Mytilus edulis: one gene and its partner. The protein of the gene in region 2 interacts with the protein of the main gene of each other region in a pairwise test. Links are inferred from orthologs where the notes say so. Each region holds a gene or a part of one and is shown on either strand. Other genes may lie near its edges. The genes, in order: high mobility group protein 20A-like and BRCA1-associated protein-like.

What was found.
Region 1: the proteins of BRCA1-associated protein-like (region 2) and high mobility group protein 20A-like interact in a two-hybrid assay, tested with the Homo sapiens proteins (2 studies listed by BioGRID and IntAct). The link is inferred for Mytilus edulis from reciprocal best matches to the Homo sapiens genes BRAP and HMG20A.

Annotation. Positions count from the first base shown.
Region 1 is NC_092345.1:104,506,865-104,515,850, reverse strand, and holds the start of high mobility group protein 20A-like, read left to right. Parts: upstream 1-5,083; 5' UTR 5,084-5,232; intron 5,233-8,986. UniProt on the Homo sapiens protein: Plays a role in neuronal differentiation as chromatin-associated protein. Acts as inhibitor of HMG20B. Overcomes the repressive effects of the neuronal silencer REST and induces the activation of neuronal-specific genes.
Region 2 is NC_092349.1:84,999,220-85,008,485, reverse strand, and holds the start of BRCA1-associated protein-like, read right to left. Parts: upstream 3,859-9,266; 5' UTR 3,718-3,858; coding exon 3,636-3,717; intron 1,390-3,635; coding exon 1,219-1,389; intron 152-1,218; coding exon 1-151. Other genes in the region: DNA excision repair protein ERCC-6-like, read left to right, coding at 6,607-6,673, 7,318-7,475, 7,825-7,861, 8,517-8,716. UniProt on the Homo sapiens protein: Negatively regulates MAP kinase activation by limiting the formation of Raf/MEK complexes probably by inactivation of the KSR1 scaffold protein.

The DNA of each region.
Region 1 (8,986 bases), on a different chromosome or scaffold from region 2:
CCTCAGAGTGCTGGATTTTTTCGCTGCATTGAAGACCTGTTGGTGACCTTCTGTTGTTGTCTGCTCTATGGTCATGTTGTTGTCTCTTTGACACAATCCACATTTCCATTCTCAATTTTATTGATGGAAGAAAGTTTTTTTTTGATTAATTGATAAATAACCTTTTTATTTTCTGAACATTGCAAGACTTACAAGAAATAAAAAATAATTTTTCACATCATTGATTTTCTTTAAAATAAAAATTTAGTTGATCATGTTTAAGGATAATTGATTCATGTGTATTTTCATCTCTGAAGTTTGATAATCAAATCCTCAACCTCCATTAAAGTCAACCACTGTACATGATATTGTAAAGATTTTTTCAATTTACGTCCAATATTTCCTCCATGTGTACACTTTGTGCTAAATATGTAATAAAAAACCTTGTAAACTTAAGAGTAATGTATTGAGATATTGATACTCTTTATTGGTAGAATTATCAGAACTTATACCTGTGTAAAGATATTTTTACTAGCAGAGTTTATTTAAATATTTTTTTAAATTGTATCAATTTGAAATACTGCAATTTGTATGATTTTGGGAAAGGGGTGCACAAGAAGGAAGGATGGGTTTGTATTCAAATTCTAAAAAAAAATCATTACTTTTTTAAAAGGTATAATAAAGTTCTGATGTTGTCTTTATTATTCCCCTGCTTAGAGAAGCATGATTTAGTGATGTTTTTTTCAGTTGTTTCATTCATTTGCTTGTATGATCATTCATGGATGTGCTCATTACAAATTGTCTGCCATTTTAAGAAGACTCATCTTTAAGGAATGACTGGGTTCCTATTAATCCAGCAAGTATCTTATATTTTATTCATCCAATTGTCTTCCTGTATTTAAAAGATACTTTATAAAATTATATGTCTATTAATTTCAATTAGTTTATTCCTATCTGAAACTGTTTCTGACAAAAAAGAAAACATGATATAAGTATGTTGACCACACATCTTTGTTCTGACTTTCTTGAAATATACACTGTTCTTACCATGCTTAAGTTTTATATTTTGATGGTGAAGTCAAGTTTGCACGAAAAATATATGTCTTTAGATATTTTCTGTCTATAATATTGTTTTATTTATTATAGAATGTGTGTATCTGATAGCCTTATGTCATCAATAAAATTCTGTGTCATGGTTCAATTTGTTATTGGATGTCCGTCCATAAAATACTTATTTATTTTTTAATATGTATAATGATAGAATGTTTAACAAAGAAATTGTTATAGCCCTTGATTGTCTTTTATATTAAACCCCACTCAATTTGCAATCACCTTGTTCCTCTGTTTGACCAGAAAATATGTTTGATATGTCTGTACAATGACTACATAATTATTGGAATTGGTAAACATAACAAACTGTTCAATTTGAAAGACATGTTTTTCCACAGAGCTTTCGATATGCATTATCAAGGCATATCATTGGTTCTTGGCACAGCTGTTTGTTTGGATGTGTTAGACACACCCTTTTTGTTGACCTATATTCAATGTGATAAATGAATTAAAATATTTTGTCATACATTTCTTTGTTGAGCAACAGGCATTTCTCATTTGCTTATTGTATCTGTCAGAAAACTATCTGCTTGTTCTTTTTTGATACTCTGAACTACAATAGGAGTATAGCTAGCACAACAAGATTTGCAACCTTTTGTTTATTTTTTTTAGTTTAATGTTTGTACTTGAAATCTGTTACATTTGTGACAGAGTGACTGCCCATGATTATATGTATTTCTTAACTTAGGTTATATATATGATGTTTTATATTTATATATATTTGTATATTTTGATTACTGCTGAACAACATACTGCTGAATAATCTTAATATGACCTTGGTTAACTCGAGGGCTAAAAGTTATCCATGTGTATTTAAATTTACAAAACAAAGAGCAAGGGGATCATATCAAAATGCTTTAAATGAAATATACTATGTTTTCCTCAAAAAGTGAAAATCTATATGCATTGATTTTATAATTTTCATTATCACTATTTTGGGAGTATGGTATTCAGGCTTGCTTTGATGTCTTTTTAGATGTGTTTTGCAGAGTTACAGGTCTTTTATTGTCAAGAAATTAGAAAATATTTTATTTTCGTTAATACCAGCTTTCTTAAATTAAAAAAAAAAATGGAATCGTCCTGGATACAGGATTATGTTGTTTTCTAAAATTCTCGTTAATGTCAATCTCAAAATCCATATAACTGTTAGTACCACAGATATGATTTTATGCTATTAATTTAACATTTTGTGTATTGTAATTGTGAACTTCAGTTGTAGTGCTTTAAACAAATGTGTATTAATCTTTCTGTTTTTGTGCCAATAATACTTATCAAACATGTTAAAAACATTCTCTTATAATTCAACTTGTAGAAAATTGGTTAAACCTTAAATATGTTGTCTGACCCGAAGTGATATTATATTGTAAACAATATTACTGAAAGACTAATAAATGTGATATTTTATTTCTATAATATTTATTTGATTTATTGCTTTAAATGATTAAAGAATTATTTTAATGAATTATTTACAATAAATGATATTTTAAGATAAATTTGACTTTGTTTAAATCAATTTGTATAACAGCTACAAAAGTAAAGATGAAATAAGCTCACAGTATAATTGCAAAGATGAAAAGAAACCAATTAAAAAAGATCAGTTAAAGAAGAAACATTACTACACGGACAATACCATAGCCAGTAGAAAAAAGACAAAAACACTAGAGTGGGGGGCCCATATTCGCCGGGGACACAATTTCACCGTTTTATGATTTTGAGGTGTTAACACTTCACATGATGGCTGAAATGGAAGAATTATGCCGATAAATTATAATTTTATAACAAATATGATTATTTTTTAAACTTAAACAAAATTACAACACTTACTGCAAAAGATAGAAAAACAGACAACGATTTTCGGTCAATTTCCTGAATGAAAAACAGGATTTTCAAAGATTTTTTTCTTAGCATTTTTTTGACTGATTGGCCTAAATTTCTGTTTTTTTACACCTTTGAAATGTCTGCTGTTCATCTATAATGAAATTTATATGATGAATATTATATAAAGCTGCAGTTTTTTGGTTTTAAATAGATGTGTAAAAACGGCGAATATGTGTCCCCCATTGACAAAACTTCAGGAAATTTCAAACACCTTTTAATCTAACTTTACAGATGATTATTTTCAAACAAACATGTTTTCAAGCTTAGGAATGTTTTGCATTTGAAGTTATCTTCATATAGAAATATCAGTATACTTCAAAAACATATAGACCTGAACATAAACTGTAGAAAACATCGAAAGATATGGCGAAAATGAGCACCCCACTCTATCATAAACAAAACTTTACACAGAAACATAAATAACATTATAGGCAGTAAAAGCTAGACAAATACACAGTCAGCCATAAGAATTCATTACAACAAATTGCTTTTGGTATTCATAAAGGTTTTAAAGACATTACTTCACCATTATCTTTAAAACATCTTTTACATTTCTCTATACGCATTAACTCTTTATCAACAAATGTCACTTTCACTATATACAATAACCTTACATCAATTATAAAGCTATTAAGTTCATAAATTGTCCTTAATTTTTTTTTAAGCTTAATACATATTTTCTTATGACAAAGACTGTAAAGAGGCTGTTGTTGATCATTAATTTTGTCTGGTGTTGCTGATAAACAACTTGCCAATTTGTAGTTTGAAGCAAAATAAAAATATTATGTAGTCTTTCAAAAGTAAATTTTTGTCTTGGCATTTGAAAAAGATCCTGTGTTCCTGTTTATGATGTTGCTGTCCTTTGAGCCTGCCTTCATTATCTAATTACTAATGATTAAGAGCATGGCATAGCGTAACGACACCAGTCTATTGAAAATAGGAAGGTAGCTAGGGGGATTTAAGAGGGCAGGTGGCCTGGCCCCCTTATGGAGGTTCATGATTATATAATAAATGTATAAACCTTTTCAAAATTATCACTCCATACATTGGCTTTGTAAGCCTGCTCTTCCTTTTTCAAAATCCAAAATCCACCCCTGGTAGCAAACATTTGAATTTTCTGTAAGCAAATATTTCAATTTTTATGAGATGTTTAAAAACTTTATTCATTAAAATTTACTGGACTAATACATAACAGTATATTTGGGTGAAATGCACTAATTTTTCAAAGAATATTGGATCGACACATTAAAAGGGCATTGGCTGTCAATTTCAAGTTCACGAATTTGACTGAAAATCTCATATTCTTTTTAACATTCTTAAACATATATCCAATTTATGAAAAGTCTAAAATAAACAATTTACAAGGCATGGGCTCAATAATATGTACCATAGTTTTGTTTGTATTTTAGTCTAGAGGCCATCTAACTATTGAAGACCTTTGAAGACATATAAGCAATATAAACATATATTTAGATATAAATAGAAAGTGAACTCGTCACAATTGGATTTTTGTATGTCTGTTTAATTTCACATTGAAGTTTAAGAAAATGTGTTAATCATAATTTTTACCTGTATAAAAATGAGTTTTGGGGGATGGAATCAGTCAAACAAATAGTTTACCTTAGTTTCACTTTCAATGTTGACATTCTTTTCCTTTTTATAACTAACATGCATAATTCATAGTGATCCATCTCTTTCTATGGTGTTAATTGATGGTCACACAAATCTGAGACTTCTATAACACATAGTAGTCTCAGCATGAATACAAATACAATGAGCTCGAATTTTTCACTTGCAAGTGAATAACTCATCATGATGTTTCTTAGTTTATTTTTACCAAATTGAACCATACTGAGTGATAAAGGCAAATTATTATTTCAAAATTTCACATTGACATAAGTTGGGGGATTTTTTTTTTTATATATGTATACATCTTGCAGCATCTTACTTAAATGCTATCAACTAAATTACCATTTTCAATGCCTCTCATTTGGGGGCGTCATCCTGGACCACTGAAATTCACTTTAGCATCTCTTATATGAAAAAATGTTTTAAAGAAATCATATAATAAAGGAAAAGGGAGATAACATTTTTTTCTAGGCCATTCTTGTGCGTTGCATTTTATAAATTTAAATTGTCATTGGTTGTACCTTTTTCGGGTTGTCTCGGGGTTTACCATAAAATTTTATTCAGAAAGCATTTTGGCCATTGTTTATTTTGTTCCCGTACTTTATTTTTGAACGTAATTTTCTTTATTATAAAAAGGTATGTACTGTTAGAATTTGATATGACATGCATATTTGCGTTGCTCTGAACATGAATGTATGTAACGTGACGGTACCCAAATTGCACCTATTTTGACAGTTTTTTCATCTACGTTTTTTTATGATAAAGACAACAATGTCTATTCTGTGTTTATTTTGTAGCCGTATCCTTCTTTATCAAAAAGGTACACCAATTTGATTTTTATTCCATATGGAAGCATAGAAAAACTGGTCTAAACTGACCTCCAAACCAGCAATGATTCTGAAATGAGGAGTACCCAAATTGCATCCATGCTTTAATTCACATCGTCAAAAGTCTAATAACAGAGCTTTTGTTTAATTTCTTCAAATATTTCGAACAATTGGATATTAGTACCTGCTTAATCTTCATTTTTTTTTAAATGGATACTTGTAACATATTGTATTTGCTCATTTTAAAAAGATGACGTCGCAGTACATTTTGCTTTTTCAGTAAACACTTTATCTGTTGATAAATACTGTGAACGTTTTGGGCATATCTTAAAAGTTTTACCCTTGCTGAAAGATGTGCTTAGTATCAAATCATAAAAATACAAATTGTTTAGTCTCTATGAAATCTTGTAAGATTTCCGCTGCTATTTTTGCTAAATAGGTGCAATTTGGGTACTCGGTGCAATTTGGGTACCGTTACGTTAGGGTTTTACCCTCCTTTTATAATGAACACCACTTACTTGCTGTAAAGAAAAATATTAAACCAAAAAGTAAACCTGTTACCAAACAAAAGTGTCAAAACAAAAAACCACGATGGCCATGTGGTACATGCCTAAAAGCAGTAACCTGGAATCAAAAGGCACTATGCTGCGACAGCTGCGATACTTGGTTTCACATTAACTGTCAGAGTATTCCATCTCACATCTACGAGTGTATGAATGCTAGTAATATTAGCTGGGAATGCACAAATTGTGGAATGCCAAATTTCTCCACTAGCTTATTCAATAACCAATCAAGCATATCATTAAATTCTAGTAGTAACTGGAGTATGAGTGATACATCACTCAATAACAGCCTAGGTGCTCCTCAGGCATCTTCATCGCCTATGGTTAAGACTAAATCAAAACCGAAAGTCAAAACATCACAAAAAGCCACTACTAAAAATCAAAAACCTATCAGGATACTTAACCTAAACTTTCAATCGATACGAAATAAAAAAGAAGATCTCAATCAGTTAATTGATTCATCTAAACCTGATATAATCATAGGCACTGAAACATGGCTAGACAAAAATATATCATCATATGAATTCTTTCCATCAGAACTATTTAATGTCTATAGATCAGACAGACCACCAAAAAAAAATAACCAAAGTCATGGAGGTGTACTTATTGCTATTAATAAAGAACTTATAAGCACAGAAGTAAGCGAACTTAAAACTGACTGTGAAATAGTTTGGTCTCAAATAAACATGACTGGTAGTAAGAACTTGTTAATAGGTGCATATTACAGACCACCATCAGATAAAGGAACATCTTTACAACAACTAGAACTATCACTTAGTAGAATCAACCAATCATCAAATACTAATATCATGATTGGTGGTGACTTTAACCTAGGTCATATTGACTGGTCTATACCTCAGGTCATACCGGGTAAACCGGACGCTGAACATCATAATAAACTTTTAGAATTACTAGAAAATTTTAACCTTCAACGAATAGTTAATACACCAACTAGAAAAGAAAGAATATTAGACTTAATCCTAGTTAACAATCCAACAACTGTTAACAAAGTAAACACACTTCCACCACTAGGACTAAGTGACCATGACATCGTCTACATAGAAATTGACACTTGGCTTCGTAAAATCAGACAACAACCTAGAAAAATACTCAAATACGACAAAGCGAACTGGGAAAACATAGAAGCAGACCTTCAAAAAACACTCGAAGAGCTTACTGTTATGAATAACAACAACAACAGTACTATAAACGAAATGTGGGATTTATTTAAAAACAACATCACAAAATCAATAGATACAAACATCCCACATAAAATGTTAACATATAAACACCGACTTCCCTGGGTGCACAACACACTCAGAAAAATGATAAATAAAAAGAATAAATTGTACTCTAAAATGAAAAAGGACAAAAAGCATATACTTAAATATAAAAAACTTAAACAACAAGTCCAACAAGAACAGAGACGTGCCTATTGTACATACATAGAAAAAATGATCCTTGACCTTCCAACAAATGACCCTGACCAAAGTTACAGCAACCAATCAAAACCGAAAAAACTCTTTTCTTACATTAAATCCATCAGAACTGACAATAGTGGAGTTGCTCCCCTGAAAAAAGAGGGACAATTAACAACTGATACAAAACAAAAAGCCAACATTTTAAATGAGCAATTCCAATCAGTCTTTACCACCGAAACAGCAAGTAATATGCCTGATAAAGGACCAAGTCCTCATCCAGTCATTCCATCACTCACAATTACAACACCTGGCATACAAAAACTCTTAAACAACATCAATCCGCACAAAGCCACTGGCCCAGATAACATCAGCGGCAGAGTTCTAAAACAACTTCAAAACATAACGGCACCTATCCTCACCATTATTTTCCAGAAATCGCTTACATCTGGCTGTATACCATCTGACTGGAAACATGCAAATGTCGCACCAGCATACAAAAAAGGTGAAAAATACAACGCAGTTAACTACAGACCAATCTCTCTCACTTGTATCAGTTGCAAACTAATGGAACATGTCATAACAAAACATTTAATTAATCACTTAGAAAAAAACAATTTATTATACGACCTCCAGCACGGCTTCAGACACTCTAGATCATGTGAAACACAACTTCTATCTTTTATACAAGAACTGGCTTCAAATTCAGACAATAACACCCAAACAGACCTTGTAATTATGGACTTTGCCAAAGCCTTTGACAAAGTCCCACATCAAAGACTCTTATACAAACTACACTTCTATGGAATACAAAATGAAACACTTAACTGGATCTCTGCCTTTTTATCAAACCGCACACACACAGTTGTCCTGGATGGAGAGTCATCAGACGTTGCTCCAGTTACTTCTGGTGTCCCACAGGGAACAGTTCTGGGTCCAGTTCTATTCCTGGTTTACATAAACGACCTACCAGAATATTTGAAAACCAGTAAACTCAGACTGTTCGCCGACGACAGCATCATTTACAAAAGCATCAAATCTAAAGAAGATTGTGATAGTCTTCAGGAAGATCTTGATGCTGCTGCAAAGTGGGAAGAAGACTGGCTGATGGCTTTCCATCCAGACAAATGTACAGTTCTCACAGCCTCAAATAAGAAAAATACAATTAAAAAAGACTACATTCTCCACAGTCATACACTAGAATCTGTCTCCGCAGCTAAATATCTTGGTATAACACTGCAATCTGACCTAAAATGGAACCAGCACACAAACAACATCATTGGCAATGCAAATAAAAGTCTAGGATTTCTAAAAAGAAATCTAAAAACATCAATCACAAACATTAAGTCCCAGGCATACCTAGCACTTGTCTGACCAAAACTAGAATATGCTTGTTCGGTTTGGAACCCTCATACTGCTGAACAATGCAATAAACTTGAGATGGTTCAACGTCGGGCAGCTAGGTATGCCTGCAATCGTTACCACAACACCAGTAGCGTTACAGACATGCTCAATACCTTAAATTGGCCTACCTTACAACAACGCAGACTTAAAACTAGACTTATAATGTTCTATAAAATTG
Region 2 (9,266 bases):
CTTTTAGGCCTTGTACTCTGACTGCTACTGGGTCTGTGGTCATCTGATGATGGACCAGGAGACTGACCATCTTTAATTGGTCTAAAGTCTTCAGTATGTCTGTCAGTCTTGTCTTCAGCTGCTTTCATTTCAGATTTGGTTTCAAAATTCACTGCAATGTAGAAAATATGAATAATTCATTCTTGTAGGTTTAAAATTGAATTCACATATTGTAGTTAATATGTAGGTGTTGGAGACATTAGCCATTCAGATATAAGAGGAATATAATATGGCATGAGTAAACCAAAAAAGTGATTTGATTATGTGTACCACATGAACATGATGAACCATGTAAACATAGTTTTTCCACAACCACAAAAATCCCACTGAAACTCACATACCTTAGAAACCTGAAGATGTATGCCAAAATCAATTCAATTATTATAAAGCTGATGATTTTTTTTTTATTAAGGATAAATATACATGTTTGTATACATGTATATAGAGTGAAAACTCTTAAAACTCCTTTTGCCCCTTTTCTAAGAAACAGTTAAAGCCACGTACAGTCCTAAACATCAATACCAATTGTCAACTTTTTTGAAAGGCTTTGTGAAAAAGGGCAGATAAAGTTCCATATTGAAGATAACAACAAACAACACACCATAAACATAATACAACCTTCCTAATTTGTTGTTGTGTAAAAATGGGTTACATTCATTTGTTGTTGTGTTAAAATGGTTTACATTCATTTGTTGTTGTGTAAAAATGAGTTACATTCATTTGTTGTGTAAAAATGGGTTGCATTCATTTGTTGTTGTGTAAAAACAGGTTACATTCATTTGTTGTTGTGTTAAAATGGTTTACATTCATTTGTTGTTGTGTAAAAATGAGTTACATTCATTTGTTGTGTAAAAATGGGTTACATTCATTTGTTGTTTTGTAAAAACAGGTTACATTCATTTGTTGTTGTGTAAAAATGGGTTACATCCATTTGTTGCATTATTTGAGACACAAATTTATAACTACCGTACTAATAAATATCATAAAAAAAAAACTTCACTTATGGTTACTAAATGAAACACTATTAACTGCAATAAACATGATAAAATACATTTGAAAATTTTTGATTTACAAGTATCCATGGTATCAGATAAAATACCATCCAATGTGACTTCTCAGAACAGTCAATTTCGCCTACAACCATGACAACTATGCAAGTATTTGTTTTATACAATTTACCTGAGAAATAAGATTCTATTGTGAAGTCACCAAACCCACGCTGTCCTCTACAAGTGAGGTTCAACTCTACAGGCGACTTTTCTTCACTAGAACTTGGTCCTGATGTTTTTACAACTGAAGCATATGATGCTGTATCCCTAGATTTTATATTAGCACTATGGAGATCTGATGCTGAAATACAAACATCAGATTCTTAATCTACAAGATGTGGATATCATGTGCTTAAATACAAAATCATATTCTGTTTCTATAGGTTGTAAGACATGGAGATCTGTATTGTAATCTGCCAGCAGAAGTCCATCAAAACTAGACATCTGTTTATATATACTAGAGCACACCCGCGAAATCGCGGGCATATACAGCTTGTGAACTATTGTAGGATAATTTTTTGTCAAAGATATTATGTATGGAGAATTTCATAAAAGGTATGAAAAGCTCTCTCCCTTTTTCCAAAGTCCGATATTTGTTTCCTTTCTGTTAAATTCAATTATTTCGTGTTTCTGGCCTCAGACCACAATTATTCTTCTCCTTTGCTACAATGCTTCTTTTGGTAAAAGTCAAATCAAATTAAAAATTTGCACCGTTTCAAACATGAAATAAATGTAACTGTTTATATATAGACCATTATTAGTCTAATAAAATATGCTTCTAGGACAATCCATCAGTGCTTTTTCTTTTGAGAGCCTTATTAACCTGTCAATGGTAGGATATGAATCTTGTATAAATGACCAAGACCGACTATAAGGCTAATTTGAGGGGTGGTCGGAGTTGTCCTAATCCCGAAATACCGGGCTTAAAACCATGAAATCCCGAGATGCAGAATTTAAAGAAACTTCATATCCCGAATTCGAAAAATATATCCCCGGATCACGTAAGGATCAATCCCAAAATCAGGAGCTTAAAAACACCCAATCCCGATATATATAGCCTTGTAAATTACAAGTTGTCTCCCTTATACCAATTTTGATAGCGATCTAACTTTGCTATAAAGTAAGTTGTAAACACCTTATCGCTATTTGTCCGCCATTGCTGGACACGCACAGGTTCCCGTAAAATGTTGACGTCATAAAACAAAAGATCTGACGCCATAATGGAAAAGTGACTGTTGTTGACGTCAAAACTTCAAGTGGCCGGGCCAGCCAGGATTAGCGATAAGGTGTATTAGCCTACAAGATTTAACAATTTTCAAAATTCTTTGGTAACTTAAATCATCATTGCTCCAGCAACAATATAGCCTTACAATCATTCCATACACCAAACATTTTCCCAAATAAGTTGACCTATTGTTTATTTTTTCTTAGAAACGAACTTAACCAGGAAAACTTAACATTGAATAATGAACAATGAAAATGATTGATTGTTGGTGTGTTAAACACCACTTTTAAGTTGCCTGGAGAAAAAAACAGACATTTGATAGGGAAACTGACAACAATTTACATGTATATGCAAAGTATGAAAGATCCAGGTCTTCAACCTTTTACTATTGATTAACTTGTCATAAATAAACTTATAGATTGGTCAGATACTTCAAAATCAGTTACCAACAAATTTTTAAATTTTGTGAAGATCCTGTAAAACTCAAGATTTTGACTTGTTTTACAATCCCGTTATCAGGGTAAGGATTAAAGCATGACAATTGGGATAGTTGGCAGGTCTGTAAAAGATACATTTTAGCAATAGATCATTATTTTACTAGTTGAGAATCTGCAGCACTTGAAGAACTAATGACTTCATAAAACAATCACTTTTCCTTTGTGATGTCAGCCATTTTCGTTTAAGATTTAAGAATTTTACAGGAACCTTTGTGATGTCCAGTAATGCAGACAAATAGAAGTAGTATTGCTGGAATTTGGAACTGATTTGTATTTTGATCTATTTGATGAGTTAAGCATTTTTCAACTGATTTTTTTCAGTTCGTTCTTATATTGTACTGGTATACATGTCCCACTGTCCCAGGTTAGAGGAAGTTTTGGGATCCCGCTTACATGTTTAACCTCGCGACATGTATGTGCCTGTCTCAAGTCAGGAGCCTGTAATTCAGTGGTTGTCATTTGTGTATGTGTTACATGTACATATTTGTTTTTTCATTCATTTTCTGTACATAAAATCTGCCCTTAAGTTTTTCCCTATTTGGATTGTTTTACATTGTCATTTCAGGCCCTTCATAGCCGACTCTGTGGTTTGGGCTTTGATCATTGTTGAAGGCCGTATGGTGACCTATAGTTGTTAATTTCTGTCATTTGGTCTCTTTTGGAGAGTTGTCCCATAGACATTGGTAACCATACCACTTCTTCTAAAATTTTTTTTACATATATTGGATACAAAGACATGGAAGCCTACAGTCAATTTCATATCAAATGTGGGACAGATTTTTTTACTTCTTTAAATATTCAGTTATTTTATGAACATTAGCTTACCACAGTAACTGAAAGATTTTGGAATTTCGTGATCATTTTCTATTTCAAGCCTCAGAATACACAAAGAGATTGATTCAGACATGTGAAATTCATTAAAATCTGAATGTTAGAATCATGGGATTTTTTTAGTAGGACTATCAAAGTCCTTGTCAGAACAAATCCTTCTTATTTTTATTTTTTTCCAAGAATATTACTTTTTTAACTTTAAAAAAAGAGAGCACCTGTAAGAAAAACAATGACGGAAAATATATTTCCGGATATTTAACTCACATTCCTGTAGTAAAGTTTATTGGTCATTCTTGATAATATATGGGACTAGTGTTTTGTTTTATTCGCCTGTTAATGTTTGTGTCTATATAAAAGCAATAACCATCATGCAAAACTTGTTTGTACGATAAATCAACTTGATTTCGACCAAAACAAGGATTAGAATACGTCACTTCCTGTTGGCGGAACTTTCAAAAACGAAAAATAACATCAGAAAATGTGAATATCAGTCTGGCGCAAATACTTTTGCTAAAATTTGTTTTAATCAACCAGACATATTAAATCCATATACACTCAACGCAAAATCTATAGAGTAAGCACCTTTATGACTGCTGTCATTCACCCATTTGTCTAAAAAAATAAAATAAAATAAAAATGAGTTGAGACATAAAAAATATTTTTTTACTAAATCAGTAAATGAGCAAGAACATCTTCGTAATGGCAGATTTCTAATGAAAAATATCAAAAGCATTAGTTCATATATGCCCTATTTAAGCCAACTTACTTTCAGACCTTCCAAATTTAATTGATTGGGGAGTTCATCGATGGCCAGACACGGGGGTTCGGATCACGGTTCCCGCTTACTGTTTCGTCAGATTCCAGTATCCAACTTCAATATGTACGTAAGCAATTCTCATTTATTTGTAATTTCCCATTTCCTGCTAGACTTCATTTCCTCTTTTCATAGCACAATAATTTTGACTTTCACGTTTACGATGTTTACAAAAAATCAGCAATTCTGCATCACGCTTAGACCCCAATGAGACCCACTTCATGAGTTTTGGTCCTTGCTTGTAAGTTGTATTTTAACATTTGATGGAATGATTTATGAAAATTATACTTTCCGAATACTTGTCTAAGTATTTGTGACGGGATTGCTTCCCTTAGAAAATGTGGTAGATACATCATTACATGTACTTAGTCAGCCGGAAACAGTTGAGCTAAGGAAGTACTTCTTTCGCTCAGTCGGTTAACAAGCTGCCTTGTAACACCTAGGTCCCGGATTTGAGTCCTTGAGGAAATAAACAATTTTGTAATGAAATTCATGCATTCAAGTTACATTGGTCCCCAACTACAAAACCCATGGTGGTTAGAAAGGAATTCTAGCTAGGGTATGTGTTGTCAAAGTCATAATGGTATGATGTCTTTTGAGATGGGGGAAATGCTTTCCCTTAACAAATGTGGTAGATACTTAGTCAGATGTAAGCAGTTTAGCTAAAGGAAGTTTTTCTTTAGCTCTGTCGGTTAACATGCTGTCTTGTAACACAGTTCTAAGTCCTGGGATTGAGTCCCAATGGAGACAAACAATTTGTAATGAAATTCATGCTCTCCGGTTACATAATCAGTCAAGGGTCTAACTTAAATAAGTTATTAGAGAAAAATAACATACATGTTGTTATTGTCGGCTAAAATATCAAAAAACTGTGATAACATGTATGTTACATGTTTCAAAGGGAAAATATACAACCTTTATTTTGTTAAATTTTTCTGTAGTTCTATTGATATTATAATTTTCTTTAAGTGTACTTATCTTTGCAAAGATATAACAGCTCATAGTTTACCAATCATGCATAGTACACCTATGTTATTACAGAAAATATATTCTTCTATATCTCTTTAAAGGCTTTGCTCTAACTTGCATAACAATGTATTTCAATTCATTGTAAGAAATGATGATCAGAGCTTGTAATGAGGCACTGCACCAGATTCCAAGTGTCTCATTTACTCTCATATAGTAAGTTACATGCTTGTAATAACTAATACAAAAAAAGAAAATGTGGTATGATTGCCAATGAGACAACTGTCCACAAGTGACCAAAATGATGCGGACATTAACAACTATAGGTCACTGTACGGCCTTCAACAATTTTATTACAGCTTAGTTTGTCCTTAAAAGCCTTGTCTCATTGGTTTAACATGGTTGATCAAAATTGTTTTAATGGAATTATAAAATTAGTTATCAAGGTAATATATTAAGCTACTGCGCAAAGTTTTAAGAATTCCCAAGTGCTCATTACACATTAAATATTTATGATTTATTTAACGAATAATAAAAATATGTTATTACAGATAACAGAAAAAAGAGTAGACAACTCATGAAAGTGTCTGTAATAACACATGCATGTTATTTTTCTCTGATAACTTATTTAAGTTAAACCCTTGACTGATAATTATGATGTTTTCAAAGGCTACTTAAATTTTTTCAGTGACACATTAATATGACTTCATAATTATTTGGACTTCAATCTTTGTCGTGATAATAGGGTAGTATAAGAACTACCCAAATAATAAAAAAATCATGCATCTAAGATTATTTCCAGTGGAGCTATGGTAATAAGGTTTTATTATCTAGATATATACATTTGTATGCCAGAAAATATGCCAGAAAAAGCGTCATTAAATTTGACTACAATTTACAAATGAATGTGAAATTTATTACAAAGTCAAAGGAGTGTATATTAATTGTGTTCAAGTTATCTACTTCACAGTTACTGTTAAAACCTTACCAGAGATTGGCAGAGTATAAGTTTACTTTTACTTGATTAACCTATATGAAAATAGCTGGTGTTCAAAACCTGTCGTATGCCTGTATTTTTTCTGAAAAAATAAATTTTTATGACTATAATAACCTTTATTCATTATACCACATGTCCTCAAAACAAATGGCTCAACATTAAATATGAATTTTTGATATTTTAGAATAATGGACCAGGAAGTACAAGAAACAGGGGATGGTTTATCAAAAGTAACAATATCACAGGATACTAAAGGTAGTTTAACATGTATTATGTGTATCATATATCTGTCTATGTTAGCCATGTCAGGATTTAAATTGTTTAATCTTTGTTTTCCACAATCTGGCATCAAGTATTTTCAAAATTAGCATTCAATACTTTCAAACTGTTCTCTCAGAAATTAGAAAACAAATAGATTTTTTTTAATGGAAAGCAATACATTCTATAATTTTTCCCAATAACACATAATAGCATGTCTGTGTTCAAATACTAATAATGAAACAACAATTAATATTTTATGTACTATTTCCCAAATATTCTCTCAACAGTTTATATACCTATAATACCAAATTATGTCAAGCTTTAAATTACCTCAGTCTTGGCAGATTCTGAACACATTTAATAGAGACGTTCAAAGGTGTATAATACAAAATTTCTGGAAGGGCAATAAACAAAAAGAATTCCTGACTAATGACTGATGAAGGCACATTACTAAGTCAGTAAGTGACATTGTTAAACTTTCTTTTTATTGACTCAACTCTCCACTTTACAAATTTAAGTTGTATAACAAGAGGTGCTTAAAAGAATGTACATTTACAAAAAGAATTTAAAAAAAAGCACAACTCTATATCTGTGAAAATCATGGGAATAAGGGATAAGCTTTTTTTTTCATTTTCCAGAAATGAGTCAAGAAGAACAGGAAATATTTACAGAGTTGATCACAAATGCTAAACAATTAACAGCAGAAAGGAAAATAAAGGAGGCCTTAGATTTATACAGACAGGCACTTCAGATGCACTACCATGAAAAACTAGCCAAAAAGATCGCAAAGATGGAGGTATGTGTTGGACAGACTCTGTGTTTACTAAGAAGTATTTTGAAGCTGTCAGTAAATCCAGTTACATTCCTTTATAAACCTATTGAAAATAGTGAATTATTTTGCTGTTTAAATCTCTTGATATGTTTCTTATTTTCCCTTGATGTTATTTTTGTCTCTTGGAATAGAATCGATCAGCTCTGAAAGCATTTCTGAAGATGATAACATTAATACTTGTGTTACATTTAATGTTGACTAGACTTAAGCTTATTTACCTGGTATTTTGTTGGTCAGAAATCATCTTACATTGTATAAAAATATTTTATAATATTTAAAGATTTAATTGAATAACATTTTGATGTTTTTCCAGGCCTACCTTAAAGAAACAGGTGAAGATGGAGATACAGGTAACTATAGTGATTTAACCCTCTTCTTATCTGCACCTTGACCTTTAAAATAAAGTTTTTGGTTCTAGAAAAGTCTATCACTTGCCCCCAGTTATTATAATTACAATCTGTATATGAGTTTAAAGAACAATCATGAGCTTTTAAAAATGAAAACAATATATTACTTTTCATATATATGTTAGATTACTTATAAATATAACTAAATGATAAAGTTATTAGTGCATTGGATTGTTGTAGCATGCACTTAAATGTGTGTGGTTTTATGGAGATGGTTAATTTTTTACAACAAAATAAAAGAAATGAATTTTGCACAATTAAAACTAAAAAGATTCACAACACTTATTATTTTTTTTATCAAACAATGGTGTATTTATTACTTTAAAAAGACAAAAAAATCCTGAATTACTGCAAGGAAATGCTTTATTATGGTCTACATGTTTCACCACTTAGAATGGCGTCTACAGAACAATTTAATGATAGGAAATAAGTGTAGAAGTACATATAATGCGGTTCATATGGGGTTTCTGAAATGGTGTATTTAAATTAATATTTATTGGGAATGCAAATATTTACAACTATGACATACAATATACACCAGACATTATTAAAACTAGTTTTGGTATGACTCTGATTGACATTTTTACTTATATTAAAGGAGACAGGTCAAGGTCAAGTTCTACAGACACTCCTGGTGAGAACCTGTCTGAAGAGGACGAAGAGATCTACAATCAGATGATATCTGGTGCTAGGAACATGGTGGAGCAGGGTAACATCAAAGAGGCTTTAGACTTAAACAAGGAAGCATTAAAGATACATCACAATGAAAAACTGGCCAGGAAAATTACTAAAATGGAGGTATTGAAATAAAGTCCTATATAGATATAGGAAGATGTGGTGTGAGTGCCAATGAGACAACTCTCCATCCAAATGACAATTTAAAAAAAGTAAACCATTACAGGTCAATGTACGGCCTTCAACATGGAGCCTTGGCTCACACCTAACAACAAGCTATAAAGGGCCCCAAAATTACTAGTGTAAAACCATTCAAATGGGAAAACCAACGGTCTAATCTATATAAAATAAAACAAACGAGAAACGTATAAATTACATAAACAAATGACAACTGCTGTAAATTGTTTTTAGATGTATCACTTTTAGTCCCTAAAATGAAATGAGAACACAGATCTTTGTGAGTCATTCAAATTGTATTAAGTAAATAGTTTTACACAGAAATGGAAACACATTTTTTAGCTTAAAAATTGTTTCTTGGGAATGACTCATTATCTAGCCGTTTGAAGTATGTTAATACGTTTCTTTTGTTCTGTTAAATTATTTTTATTCAACCAAGAAAAATATCTGTTGAACATATTTAATGATGTCTTATGTTGTAACTGTAGTATAAGGT